Linked DNA regions of Drosophila melanogaster. The gene in region 2 interacts genetically with the main gene of each other region. Each region holds a gene or a part of one and is shown on either strand. Other genes may lie near its edges.

Evidence for each region. Genes that interact genetically often act in the same process or in processes that back each other up.
Region 1: of eIF2Bdelta (region 2) and Trf2, changing one suppresses a phenotype caused by changing the other (phenotypic suppression), as found in Drosophila melanogaster (one study listed by BioGRID).

Annotation. Positions count from the first base shown.
Region 1 is NC_004354.4:8,406,163-8,413,815, reverse strand, and holds the start of Trf2 (TATA box binding protein-related factor 2), read right to left. Parts: upstream 4,545-7,653; 5' UTR 4,452-4,544; exon of another isoform or gene 4,064-4,451; coding exon of another isoform or gene 3,842-4,063; exon of another isoform or gene 3,535-3,841; 5' UTR 3,127-3,534; exon of another isoform or gene 2,158-3,126; intron 1-2,157. Other genes in the region: lawc (leg arista wing complex), read left to right, coding at 3,842-4,063; PIG-T (phosphatidylinositol glycan anchor biosynthesis class T), read left to right, coding at 6,847-7,021, 7,230-7,653.
Region 2 is NT_033778.4:23,383,674-23,391,127, reverse strand, and holds eIF2Bdelta (eukaryotic translation initiation factor 2B subunit delta), read right to left. Parts: upstream 4,608-7,454; 5' UTR 4,506-4,607; intron 4,339-4,505; 5' UTR 4,331-4,338; coding exon 4,301-4,330; intron 4,225-4,300; exon of another isoform or gene 4,122-4,224; coding exon 3,516-4,121; intron 3,457-3,515; coding exon 2,896-3,456; intron 2,840-2,895; coding exon 2,156-2,839; 3' UTR 2,076-2,155; downstream 1-2,075. Other genes in the region: Mtmr6 (myotubularin related protein 6), read left to right, coding at 4-233, 311-823, 880-1,122, 1,187-1,409, 1,470-1,607; roh (reduction of Rh1), read left to right, coding at 4,831-5,011, 5,083-5,150; CG30414 (uncharacterized protein), read left to right, coding at 5,802-6,015, 6,081-6,123, 6,179-6,426, 6,482-6,894.

The DNA of each region.
Region 1 (7,653 bases), on a different chromosome or scaffold from region 2:
ATACATACATATAAATTAAAGTACTCCGTGGTTTGTTTATAGTTTTTATTTGCAATCTCTGCTGATTTTCCCCCTTATATTCTTTTTTCATGCTCCATTTAAAAAAGAATACATATTTGCATTTATTGCAATCACTGCCAATTATTAACTGCTTATGCTCGTTTTCCAGCAGAAACCAACAAACACAAGCAAAGTGAGCACAACAAGTTCATCTAATGACGTCATGTCGCTTTAATGTAAAAATGTCAGGCACTTGAAACAATTTTGTTTCTGTGCCGACGCTTTTCCGACGACTGCCAGCGAACTGGGTCAATATCTTAATTAATTTTAATGGGCTTAATTTAAAGGCAAAGGAAGCGAGCACTAACAAAGTTACATCAATCATTTGCGTATTTCAATCGGTCGGAAAATGGGGGGAACAAAAGGGGTTAAGCCAATGCTTTTTGTTCTACTTTTGGAAAATGCGACCGCAGAGAAGGAAAAGTCGCACTTACTTTTAATATTACAAACCAAAAGAGTAGCCAGACCAGTAAATAATGAAACAAACATTAACAATTACTAGGATGAGCTTGATTCTTAAAATTCGTAATACAATAACGGCAATCTCTTTGGTTTATAGTGTGTATGTACATGTATGTACATACATATGTAAATGCGTAATGTTTACATATTATGGCAGGTGTTTACTTTTCTTAATGAGGGATAACGGAATCGGAATCTCTGGGTCGCCGCACATTCTACAGATAATTAAATAAAAAGGGCGTGAAACCAAAACAAGGCTTAGAAATACTACAAGCTGATACAGATACACCCAACCAGCACACACACATACACTAGAATTTAGCGATAACAACAAAATGCGGGCAACTTATTTATGCAGAAACAGTGAGAAAGAGCGAGAGGAGGGAGAGCATGAGATGATCAAGCCGGAAGTAAGGTTTTAAGAAAGAAGAGGAGTGTAACAGATTCATTTAACAGTAACAACAACAGCGATCGCTTACAGGTAGGGCATATGAAAGGTAGACAAACGAGAGACAGAAGAGCAAGGGTGGAAGGGAGAACTGCAAACTGCGATTTATTTAGGGATGTCTCTGTGTGCGCGCACTCATATGCACGTGCATTTGCATGTGTATTTGTGCCAGTCTGACCTCGTTGGCAAACTAAAAAAAATAATATTAAAGAGCATGAAAAAGTGTGGAACATGGCAGAGCGAATGAAGGCGGAAAAAAAGCCGCACCTAAAAAATCTATTACATCACTAGGGAAAATTGACACAAGTATTAGACATTTACATACACGCACACACAGAACCGTAAGCGTTTAAAGCGCACAAGTGTGTGCGTGAGTAAGCATGCTGAAAACGGAAGCGAATTGAGCATTGAAAAATACACTCATTTTGACCCCTTAAACATGTGAAATCCAATCAAAAGAGATAAGATAGTGGGGAAACAACATTATATGAACGACCACCAATGAAGGCTAAATACAGAGGTGGTCAAAAATACTTCAATACTGTAAATACTTTTGACCACCTCTGTATTTCAGCTAGTCATTGTATAATAGAATATGTTGAAAATGAGAAATATTCATTGATTTGTCTAAAATGTACGAAAGTGGCAAAAATCACATACATAAGTACTTGTTACTTTGAAAACAATATTTCTCCTATAGTTAACAGCGTATACCTGAAAGAAACCCTACAAAAAATATGATAAAATGCTTAAAAACCCACTCAATTTAACATTTGTGGGGGAAAACTTAAGCTATGCCGCAACAAAACCATAACTTGCGGAAACTACAAGTGCAAAAATGTACAAATATCGAGTAAAAACTGCCTAAAACCCCTCGTAAAATGATAAAATATCCAAACTAAATGAAATTTACGAACGAAGAGCAACATAAAAAATACAATCTAAGCCCATGGGCGACTACAACTACAACTGCTAGAAACTTCTTTTCAAAGGAAAGAAAAATCATTGAAATTATTCCCCGAAAACGAGAGCGAGACGGAGAGCGGCCGGCGACAAAGCGACAAGTGAGCGTGAGGCGAATTCAAGAGCCCAATACTCGCTCACACTCGCTTGGTTAACTTGGCGTGGGGACGTCGACGTCGGCAGCGTAGCGAAGTTTGTTGAAATTTTGAATGTGTGACAACGCGGTTCAGTCTGCCGCCAGCGCGGCCCGAAGCAGTGGTCTGTTACAAAAGTATATTACGATTTGCTGGCGAACACTCATCCACTGACTAACTCTCCCCCTCACCCTTTCGCCTTGTGGCTCTGGCTGCCCTGCCGCTGTTAGCGCTTTCATGTTAACGCACACTGTTAGATGGCGAATTCGATGCGAAAGGATAAAGATTTGCCGCTGGGGCAGCGAAAAAGAGAGAAAAAACACAGTGGGCAAGTGGTGCACTTTCCATAGAAGAGTGTTCCAATGTGCCCATTGTAAACCAACGATACTTTCTTACTATGACTTGTTCCACACAGCTCTGGGCCAAGAAAAGTAACTAGGAGCAAAAGAAGCAGCCCCGCGTGATGTCAGACGTCAGCCCGCCCACAAAACACACTCGAAAGGATTGAAAAATGCAGACATTTTTGTTTGGTTTTTAGCAACTCTCTTTTTTTTTTTTTGTTAATGTTTATTGGTTTCTTTTACGCACCGCTGAAATGTTAATAACAGCCCTCGTTACTGTTAAATGTTCACACTCTCTCTCTCTCATTTATTTCTTTGTGGTTTCAATGAAAGTGAGCTACAAAGCTGCAAATCGAAATTCGTAATGATTTTGAATTGATTGGACTTTTTGGACGAGAATTAGGAAAGGCGTTTGATTCTTAGTGGGGTGAACAAAGAAATATACAACTGAATAAAATATATATGAAATTTATGGAAAACGAGTTATGAAATGAGAGCGAGAGCTAGAGGAAGTGTGCGAGGGAGAGAGAGAGCAAGTTACATTATTTGCTTTGGCATTTCTTGGTACGTACGATTCGTACGATTTTCACTTAAAACTAGACTAGGCGTACAAGATGTGTTAACTATAGATACCACAAAATACAACTAAAACGAAATTCGAAGGGGGTAAAGAAAGAAAAATCAAAAGGTAAAAAGAATGAAATGAAAAAATTATCACCTTTTTTTGTGTAGTAGGTCGTCGTCTAGCTCTCCCTCCCTCTCACGATCTCTTTTGTGGCTGTGTTGCTGTCGCTGCCGCTACTCGCTCTCCCGCCTGCTCTCACTCTATATCGCTGCTGCGCTGTCTCTCTATTTATCTCTCTTTCTATCCCGTTGCCTTGCAGCGGAGCTCTGCTGCCGTCTCGCTTGCACTTGGGCTCCGCTGCTTTGCTTCAGCCGCTGAATTCGCAGTTAAGTTTTCGCTGCTCTCTGTGTCTCTTTCTGCTGCTGCTTTTGTGGTTCTTATGTTTTTGTTTTCGATTCGGATTGTAGAATCTTTTGGATTTTGCACACTTTTGGTTGATATTTCTTTAGGTTTCTCTTTGTTTTTTTTTTTTTTGGCTTGTGATCTTTTTTAGTTAAAACTCTAAACTGAGACAGGGGAGGAAAACAATGAGGGTTCGTCTAAATTTGGAGCAAGCAAGTCACACACAGCCAGGCGCGGCGGCGAATTCGGGCATATCGACTCGAGTTGCGGCGAGAGCGAACGCGGCGAACAACGGACAACACTGTGGCATTGGCAATGGCAGCGCTTGTCGCCCGCCTTCACTTCAGTGTGTGAGTCGCGATAAACGCGAGCGAAACGGGCGGCGCAACTGAAATCGCGTACCGACTGGCGCAGACACGCACACCACCGCACAACAGCGCGTATACGTATACGGGCGAGAGAGCGCATGCTCTCCGCCACACACACGCGGTCAACGTTTTCTCCGCTTTGTGGCGCCGCGCAAGTTTTGTCGCAGCAGCAAACACGCAATAAAAGTTCAAAAACAGTTGAAGTATACCGCGACGCGAGTAAAAATCTTTCCTTCGACGTCGTCTCTGTTCGTTGTAGTAGTTGTTGTTGCTGCTGTTGTTCTTGTTGCTGCTACTGCCGCTGCTTAACGTTTCTATAGTGTGTTCCGTTCCGCGAATTCTCATGTGCATTTATGAAGATATACATATATATATATATACATATATCTGCATATATGACTGACCAAAAGGTAAAACAACGGCAACAAATAAAAACAGTATACAAATTGTTGTCAAATATAGTGATAAAAAGAACCCCCACCCGCGGTAGTTCGATCGCTGTTTTGTTTAAATTAATCTGCATATCATGTTGTGCGGCGGCTGCATTTCATTTATTTTTTGCTCGCTGAAGAAGAACTTGCTTGCTCCAAAAGAATTAACAAAAAAAAATATATCTGCGTTTCGGCGCTGCGTCGACGGCATTGTTATTTCGTTCGTATTGTTGTTAAGTGTGAGTAGTAGTAGTAGTTGTTGTTGTTGTTTCGCTACCAGAGCTGAATAATGTAGTTGACCAAAAATTTTGAGAGCACAAGTCTGAGCACACACGATACGTCTTCTTCGTTTGGCCGTTTCACTTTGAGCAGCGTGACCGTGGTGCGTCGCTATAATATGCCCCGCGAGCCGTGTGCGTATGCACTAACGCGTGCGGTAGAATGCCGCGAAAAAATACTAAAAAAAAATCCAAACCGAATACCATGTGGTGGAAACGGACTCGCGCGTTGCATTTGCTGCACTTTCCCGTTTAAATATATTTACCCGTTTGATTATAAGATAAGGGTTACATTTTGTGCAAATATACGCTTGCCAATGTTTTTGAAAAGTAATATAAACAATTTTATGGTGCGCAGACAGCAGAAAAAATATGCTGCAAAAATACCAACTTGCTGGCTATCAGAGACTCGAACCTTCTAGTGCAAATCAGCTGTGATCGATGTTTTTTTCCATTAAATTGGCACGTTTATTTAAAATTGTTTATGCATTTAGTTTAGGTACATGAATGTTACATGGGACTTTTACAGAGTGGCTAAAACATATATACATACAATATATACATATACAACAATTTGAATTGCAGATTCTCCACCGCTCTGGATATGCGAACAAAGTCCTTAGCTGCAGCGACATTAGTTTAAATTTCAAGCCGGCTATCGCATGGTGATTCCACCTGCACGTGCAAAGCGCGACTGTGGATATCGCAGGACGAGAGTCGCGTCTTCTCCTGCGAGGAGCAACTGCATCATAATCATAGCCACAGATTGAAAAGACCGAAAGCAGATGCAAGCTCAACGACAGGACTAAGAATCGGAAGCAAAACTTCCCCAAAGCAATGGCACAGTAAGTAGACAAGTGCTGCGCTTTCAAGAAGATGAGCACTTTAATCAAAACCATTTCGAAATTCTTGTTTAGATACACCCGGAAACGCAAAAGAAAGAAATTTAAAGAGCTGAAAGCCCCGTGGACTTCATGTAAGCTGCTTACAATAAGCTGCCTTTTTAGATGCACTAAAAAAAAACTACTTTTGCTTATAGGAACCCAGGTGCAACAAATAATTTCAAGGAGAAGATGTTTTTGTGGTCAAAAACGTGCAGATGACTTCTAAGAAGTTGGAAAATCATGTATTTACTCGGAAAGAAGCCAGAACTGAAGTAGCATACTTATTAGTATTATCAAATGATGAGTTTTTTCATCATAGTTTTAGTTCTATATTTATAGAAAAAAAAAACTTTCCTTGTTACTTTTAGTTTTTTCATTTGAAAGACTGCCGTTGACTTTTTCATTTTATTCGCGTGCATATTAAATATGTGTGTTAAATATACATAATAATAAATGATCGCTGTGTTTATGCACTTGCTTTGTTTTCACTCTTTATTTATTTATATTTATTCTTTTTGATTAACTATAGATTGTTTTAAAAAGGTATAAACGACGTTTAAAATTTTTATCCTGGACATAAACCAATGATTAAGCGGTGTTCCACACCCATGAGTATTATGTAGTATTTTTCACAGTATATACGGTATATAAAACGGTCAGCCAGAAAACGGTCTGTCTAATCGTTAATTTCTATGTTAATAAAATTTGAGTATTAAAATACATCGAAAGTGCAGTTTTTTTTTGTCCACTTTTTCCTTTATTTCTAACTTTTCACTAAGAATTCCAATAAATTGTTTTATCTTTCTCTCGATTCCCTATTCCTTCTTTCGCTGTCCGAGCATTATTTGTTATACCTTATTCGCGTTTTCTCTTTGGGTGTACGCCAAATTTTTGGCGGGCTCACGATTCCGTAAGATTGCAGCTACTTTATTTCGCTTTTTCCTTTATTACTCACTTTTGATGATGCTCGATTTTGGCGCGCTTTCTCATTTATGGTGCTTTAGTTGTAAGCCCAACTCGTGGATGTGGTGGATTTTTTGCTTTGGTACAAATTCTTTTTAACAGACTTCTCAGCGATAACGCATTTGACAATTATATTTTGAATCAAATGCACGTTACAAACAATAACATGTGTGACCAATGTAACGTTATCGATAACGTATCCCACAAGTTATACAACACTGCTAGGCAGCACTTTCCAGCCCTGGAAAAATACCAAGACATCTACCATCTCTCTAAAAACGAAAACATCAAAGATTTACTACACCAAATTAAAATAAACTTATAAATCTTTGCAACCTTAAGTCCGTGGCAATTTCCATTTTGCATTTCCATATCCGGCTGGCCAAATAATTCCACGACATTTACGGATGTCGCGGTAACCTAAACACAAAAAAAATAAATAAATATAAATAAAATAAAATAAAATACATTAAAACGGATCATCAGCTGTCGTTAGAACCGAAACGGACTAAGGGCGGAGGAACTGGCACTGAACCTATGGGCCAGCATGTATCCGGTGGCGTTTGTCTTGCTGCTGCTGGTTGCACCTAATGCCGACGCGAATTTGGGACGCGATGACGAACGATTCCACGAGGAGCTAGTGGTTCGTCCATTGTCCGGCGACCATGTCAACACCTACTTTCAGTTCACCACGCGCTGGCACTACGGCGAAAAGGATAATCGTGAGTTTTTTCAGCGGCCGAAGTCCGCATCATTGCGATTGCAAAAATGGGGCGGGAATCTCACCCACCGGCATACGAAAATACAGGCCATTGCATGCCGAAAGGTGTTCCTACATATATGTATACATATGCGCCCCATTGAAGCATCATTAGAACTTCTGGTTAACCGATTAAATGCTTATATTGTGTCTACCATTTGCTCTTTCAGTTTACCACACCCAATTGACGCCTCGAGTAATTGCGGAGCTGTTGCAGCAGTTTGCGGTAAAGGAGCTGCACATTGGCCTAACCCAGGGACTGTGGCGCTACGAGACATGGGGCTATCCCATTGTGGAGGCCACCAGCGGTGCCGAGATGTGGGCGTGGTTCAGTGGCGCAAATTTGACCAACCGGGATGTGGATCGCCAGTGGAAGGAGTTGGCCAACGTTTTCTCGGGCGTGTTGTGCGCCTCGTTGAATTTCGTCGACAATACGAATAGCATTGCACCGAGGCACTTGATTCGTCCACAATTTATGCCAGCCAATGGCCAAAGATTCGTTCGCTATGCCACATTGCCGCGTGAGATCGTGTGCACGGAGAATCTGACGCCGTGGAAGAAACTACTGCCATGCGGTAGTGCCTCAGGCTTTGC
Region 2 (7,454 bases):
CAGATTAATGCCATGGCAAACAGAGCCGCCGGCAAGGGATACGAGAACGAGGCCTTCTACGAGAACATCAAATTCCACTTCCTCGGCATTGAGAACATCCACGTCCAGCGTGCCAGTCTGCAAAAGGTGCTTGAGGCCTGCGAACAGAAGTCGCCCACGATGAGCGCCTTCATAAATGCCCTGGAGTCATCCGGCTGGCTGAAGCACATTCGCTCCATATTGGACACGTCGAGGTGAGCCAACAGACAGGAGAATCTCCCAATGGCATTGTGGACTGAGTTGTTAACATTCTGTGTGTGTCACCCTGCAGCTTCATCGCCAACGCCGTGGACAAGGGCGTCTCGGTGGTGGTCCACTGCTCCGACGGCTGGGACCGCACGGCCCAGGTCTGTTCACTGGCGCAGCTGATGCTGAACCCCTACTACCGAACCATCAAGGGCTTCCAGGCGCTAATCGAGAAGGACTGGCTGGCATTCGGGCACAAGTTCAGCGAGCGCTGCGGTCACATCCAGACGGATGCCCGCGAGGTGTCGCCGATCTTCACACAGTTCCTGGACTGTACCTGGCAGCTAATGTCGCAGCGCAGCGAGGCCTTCGAGTTCAACGAGCGGTTCCTGCTCATCCTGCACGACCATGTGCACTCATGTCAATTCGGCACCTTCGTGGGCAACTGCGAGAAGGATCGCTTGGACCTAAAGCTGGCCGAGCGCACCTTCTCGCTGTGGGGCTATATGGCCAATCACCTGAACGAGTATATCAACCCGCTGTACAAACCAAATGTAGACGAGGCCATTAAGGCCAACCTGGCACCGCAGTGCATCAAGTGAGGACTTTCTGGAATGAGCCAAATCCTATATAAACTATGCGCTTCTCACACAGGTTCTGGCGCGGCATGTACAGTCGCTTCGAGAGCGGCATTCATCCGCGGGAGCCACTGGGCGACGTGCTGCTCGATAGCAAGGAGCACTGCAACTCGCTGGAGGACCACGTGCAGCATCTGACCAAGCGCATAGCCAGCTTCAAGAACTACATTTCCAAGTCGGCCAAGAAACTGCAAGACGCCACCAGCGCCCCTGGCAAAGTGAACAAGGAGCTCTCCAGCAACGAGATCAATGACAACAAGTGCGTATGATAGATATTAGTTATTATGCTATAGTATGCTTTATAATCCATCCGCTTATTGCAGATACAACTACGATAAGAAGCTTAGCGAACTGTCTGCCGCCGACGACGATCATCCGCTGAAGGCCAGCAACATGTCCTTCGCCAGTCTGTCGCTGAGCGCGGAACAATCCAGTCCGCCGCAGGCGCTGCCCGAGGAGATCAACTCCGTGGCCGTAGACTGGAAGCCCATGCGCAACGTAACCACCTGCTCCTGCTCCACGCCCTTCGATCAGTTCAGCAAAAAGGTGGGTAACTCCGCGTACTTAAGCAAGCCTGCCACTGATGATGATCCAATCCTCGAATAGACTCACTGCTGGCGCTGCGGGGACATCTTCTGCGAGCGCTGCATAGACAAGAACGTGGCTCTGCCAGGACACGACAGTGGAAAGCCGGTGCCGGTGTGCCGGGGCTGCTTCCGGCAAATGCAAAAGCAAAGCCCGTAGAGGCAAGGCAGGCAGGATCGAGGAATGGAGCGGAGCTAGGGTGTGCAATCGATATGGAAACGCTATTAAATTTATTGTGTGTATTTATTGTTGCATTTGTAGACTTAGCTGCTTGTAGAAGCTCATTCAAGTTGTTGCAAATGGAAATCAAAAGAGCAAAACCAAATCAATCCACCAGCGATTGGCTTCCAGGCATCGTCCTAGTCTATAAGCCGGGCACAAAACTGTATTTTGTTATTAGAATCTAGAGCTACATATTTGCTAATCCCAGCCCCACCCGCACGGAAAGTACAATTGCATGTCAGAGCGCAGACTTGCTCTTGATCAAAATATTTATAATTTCCGAGGAACTCGGCGGTCTGCCGGATGTACAGACACTTGGGCCTAGCCCTCCTTCGCAGCAGCGGTCCCTGGCATCAAGCATATTCCACTAGCATACCCGTAAATTATGAACTACGCATCAATCTTGTTTGTCGATTTGATCAAAGTGTAATAAAACTTATTTATTCAACAACTGCGAGTTCTACTGAGCGATCGATGAAGTCTGATTAGTAGCCAATGTCTGGCTTGATGCGGAGTATGACGGGAACACTGGTGCAGGGCAGGATGGCCACCTCGGTGACCACGGCACTCACCAGCTCCGGCGGAGTAATGTCGTAGCTCAGGTTGAGCGGCAACAGCTTTCCCTTGGCCGCCCAGTTGCTTAGCTGGCACTTGTCGCCGCGCACCAGTTGGTTGGGATCGCTCAGCTCGTTGTAGACGATGGCGTCCGTCTGGAAGCGCTCGCTGAACTTGTGCGTCTCGCAGCACACGAGCACCGGCACGTTGTGGGCATTGGCCACCAGGGCCACCTGGGCGGTGCCCGTTCGCGCCATCACGTATCCGTTGGCCAGCAGGGCGTGTGCTCCCAGCAGCACCTTCGTGGCCTCCGCCATCACATAGCCCACGGCGTTGATCAGCACGTAGGTGCACGGGATTCCGGTGGCGTGCAGTCGGCGCAGCAGCTCCTGGCCTTCGCATCCGGGTCGCGAATCGACGACAATCACGCGGAAGGCCACCTGGCGCCGCTTGGCCTCCTCGCAGATGAACTGAATGAGGGAGGAACAGGCGAAGGTCAGCAGCACGTCGCCATCGGTGATCTTTTCCTGCAGAAAACCGCTGATCGCTTGGGCCGCCTTGCCGATTTGATTTTCAATGTAAGTATCGATGAAGTGGACGAGCAGCTCCTTCGACTGTTGAGCAAATGCATGTTACCAATTGAGTTAAAAAAATATATTTTGATTCTTACCTCCGTTTCGGGAACATCCGCCGGCAGCTGTGTCAGTTGGTTCTTGAATTGTTTGTACGCATTGGACACGGACACGGCCAGCGGTCGGCACTTGTGCAGGTGGTCTACGTGGTGCTTCACGGCGGCGTCCAGGCTGCGACCAAACTCCTTCTTGGCGGGCGTCTCAAAGTCGTGGACAACCTGGCGCAGGGCGTGCAGGAAGGCAATGCATCGAGCATTGGACCCCACCACCGTGCGCTTGGCGTACTGAACACCCAAGCGCGCAATGCTCGGATGAACGAGTGGATCGTTGATGAACTGGCTGTCTTCCTTGGCGCACACCAGATGGTTGAACAGCTTCACCCGGCAGTCTACATTGGGCGTGCTGGCTGGACATTTGACGGGGGAACTGCTGGTGGCCGCTGTGGTGGGGGAAACGCTCTTCCGGTTCGGCCCTTTGGGAGCTGCGCTGGGTGGTGCCTTGGCTGCATGCTGGGCCTTTTTAGTCTGTACCTGGGCCTTGGCTGCCCGTTGGGCTTCTTGGATAGCGCGACGCTCCGCTTTGCTAAGAGCTGGCTTTTTCTGTGCAAGGTGAGGTGAGATGTATATGAAGCAAGGAAATCATAAATGTAGCAAGTTACCTTTTCCTGGTCCGCTTCTGTTGTCGAAGGTGCAGCACTGGCTGCGACTGGAGCTTTTTCTGCTACTTTCAGGTCAGCGAGCTGTTGTGCGATGCCCTCTACCTTGGCTCCCCCGCCTTTGCCAGCTTTCTTGGCTGCCTTCTTGGCCTCGCGTTCCGCCTTGATCTGCTCGCGTGTCTTTTCACCCGCCTCCGCATCCTTGCCATTTACCGCAGCTGGCTGAGTCGTCTTTGAAGCCACTGCATCCTGCACCTTTGTTGTGGTGGTGGTCGTCAGCTTAGTGGTAATGGTGGTCTGCTCCACTTCAGTGATGATTTTGGTGGCCGGAGCAGAGGGAGTGGTCAGAACAGCAGGAGTGGCGGCAGTAGGAGTCGGTGCAGTTTTCTGTTTCTTGGCCTGCTTAGCCAGCTTCTTCGCCTCCCGCTCGGCCATTATCTGGTCACGAGTCTTCTCCGTGGCCAATGGATCCACAGCATTTCCGGGCATTGCACTCGTGGCGTCGATGGCTGATGTTTCTTGTGTCGTTGAATGGCTGTCTTCCAGGCGATTTCGTTTGTTGCGCGGTCGATTGCGTTGCCTTTGCTTCTTGTGCTTGCTCTTCAAAGTCTGGGCGTCAGTCCCAGTCCAGATAGGGAGTACGGAATTAGTTATTGATGTAACAATATGTAAAACTATCAAACTGTTTGGATCAAATACGAAATCAAATCGGCCGACATGCTAAATCAAAACTAAATTTGGGAAACTCGCTACTTGGCAAATTAGTTACTAAGAGGCAAGCTAGCTACCTGTGGCACCTGTTCGCTAGTTAAAACCATTTTGAAAGCTTGAAAAGAGAGAGACATGGCAATTAAGGTGAAAAAGGATGTGAAAAGGTTAAAAAAGGTTCAGACTCCTGTGGCGGTGCAATTAAGATCCAAGCTGAATCCTGCGTCTATGGGTAAGCACGAATGCTGGCTTATAGCACCTAAGCAGTGTGCTTGCTGTCTTTACCTTACGATTCTATATTATTATTCGGGAAAAGTAACTCGAAAGTTTTGCTCACGATGGCAAAAAAACGTCCACCAGTTGATAGCGATGTAAGTGAATCGATAACCGTCTTGATTCGCCGCGGTAAACACATGGCCGGCCTTGCCAGACTCGCTAGCAGCCAGTGTCATTTTTGGTGCTTTCCTCGCCGCACGAGTTGGCATTCCCATAGCTGTCTTTTATTTGTGAGGTTCGTATGTTCGTCTGCCGCCTCCGAAAATTACATAATTTTTGCGTAAATTGATTTCGTTTAATTCGACCCTCCACAGCTGCGAATTCCACGACTACCATGGCCGACAAAGCTGCTGCCGAGAAACCCGCTGGACGCCCCATGCGCTACCCATACACTTTCTCCGCGAAGATAGCCCAATTCCCCATCAAGCACTACATCAAGAACCAATGGATCTGGCGCTACTACTTCATTGCGGCCGTGGCCTGCGTGCCCGTGTTCTACAAGATCAGCAAGCTGGGTGCGTAACACTCGCCTCGCGACCTCTGGGCCCCTTGTACTAATGCACTTCTCCCTCCTGCCCATTTTCAGCCAACTCGCCCGAGAACAAGAAGGCATGGGCCGAATCGCAGGCCAAGGAGCACGCCGAGCACCACTAGGCGGCCAGTAACTTAGTCTTAATTGTCGCATCAACATTTCAGAGCTGTTTGTGTCGGACCCAACGTGAAATCGGCGAATAAATGATTTGAAACGAGGTTAAACTTGATTCTTATTGGAGAGTGCACTGCAACATCCAAATACGGTCTTATTATGCGGCTATGACACCACCTATGAGTTGAGTTCGGTCACACTAATGATTTGTTATATGAAACACAAATTAAGTTGCTTGTTACTATTAAAATTCATAACTAGCAGCATTTAATTGGATTTATTAAAGAATAGATTAAATTATATTCCACAACTGATCGCGATGAATATTCGTTTACCCAGATAACTGCATTTCGAAGGGTTAATCGAGAAGCTAAGCAGGAAAAATATTCAAGTTCAAATTTGTATAAGTAGTTGGCGCAAGACAAAGCATCACAGGGGTCTAATTTTTGGTAGTGAGTTGGAATTTCCCCAGATTCGTAAATAAAATAAAAATAAAAAAGTACTGAGAGCACTCATTAAAACAAAACACTGATTCCTATCATATCCGTTTCCGTTGACGGTCATAAAGAGTGTACTGTTATCAGCTGGTCAACATAAAATTCCTCAAAAATTACCTCAAACTCGACTAAGCTTGCCAGTCGCTCCATTACCGCGAAAAGATGAAGTTCATCGCAGCTGGATTAGCTCTTCTGGTCTGCTCCATCCAGTTGGGTGAAGGAGCACCTGGTCACCTGCTAGACTCCAGTTGTGGCACGACAAAACCAGAATTTATCCCAATGATCACCGGGGGCGCAGACGCAGGCCTATTCTCAAATCCATGGATGGTGAAGGTGCTAGGCGAGAAACTATGTGGTGGCTCGCTAATCACCAGTCGTAAGTATTCAAATGTGGCCCACGAATGAGTTCTTTGTCCAGTCACCTGCTGCTAATACTTTCAGGCTTCGTTCTCACGGCCGCCCATTGCATCGTTAGTACACACATGTAAGTGAGGCAGCACTGTCTTTCGGCGAACACTTACGAATTCCCATTTCCACAGGAGAGTACGCTTGGGCGAGTATAAAACCCGCTTTCCTGGCAAGGATTGCTCGCGCTGCGTGCCCAAGTCATATAAACTCAGGAGAATACGCTTGGGCGAGTATGACACCCGCTTTCCTGGCAAGGATTGCTGCGTGCCCAAGTCATATGAACTCGCTGTGGATAGAAAGATTTTGCATGCGGATTATAACCTAAACTTGGACAACGACATCGGCCTGTTGCGCATGAAGAGCTTCGTCCAGTACTCAGGTAATGAGGTGGATCCAGCAGCCAGGGCTCCCTAAGCAGTGGACATATCTTTCAGACTACGTCCGGCCGATCTGTCTCCTGGTCGAGGGACACATGGCGGAAAGTCCCATCTTCAACATCACCGGCTGGGGTGTCACCAACGATGGCACGCCCAGCCGGAGGCTCCAGAGGGCCACTGTGTACAACACCGACCTCCACTTCTGCCGAAGCAAGTTCACCAAGCAGGTGGATGAGTCGCAGATTTGTGCTGCTGGCACAAATAGCGATGCATGCCACGGCGACTCGGGAGGCCCGCTGAGCGCACAGGTTCCTTTTGCCGGCAGCTGGCTGACCTTCCAGTACGGACTGGTCAGCTACGGGTCGGCGGCATGCCATTCCTTCTCCGTTTACACCAACGTTACGCACCACAGGGACTGGATTGTGAACGCCATCGAAGACTTCAGCAGAGCTTTCCAGCTTAGACTCTAGCTACTCATAATAACATTTCGTTGGCTTTTCTAAGAAAATATTATCAATCCAAAATATTATCTCGAGTGGTTTAATGGCTCCCCTGACTTCTGTCGTAGACGCCATTCGGGTCAATAATATCTGCATTAGTATTTATGTACATAAGCGAAGCTTATCTTCAGCAAATTTTAACGCTATACGCAGCGAAGCCTCGCTTTGACTGATTCCCCAGAATTCTGGGGAAAAACCGAACCCTTGGAGAAGGTTCACTTCTACACCCTCACTGGCTGGGGTCACACCGCAGACTATAAGCCCAGCCGCATTCTCCAGGAGACCACTTTGCTTGCGCTCGAACAATCGTGTTGCAACAGCAACTTCAACATCGAAGTCGACCAGTCCCAAATCTGCACCACTGGCGTGGACAGCGATGCCTGCGGTGGGGATTCCGGGGGCCCGCTGAGCGCGAAGCTGCTCTTCGGGTTAAAGAAGCGGGCTTTCCTGCTCGGACTCGTCAGCTACGGGGATGCATCCTGTAGGATCTTCGAAGTGGCCACGAATGTGACGCACTACGTCGACTGGAT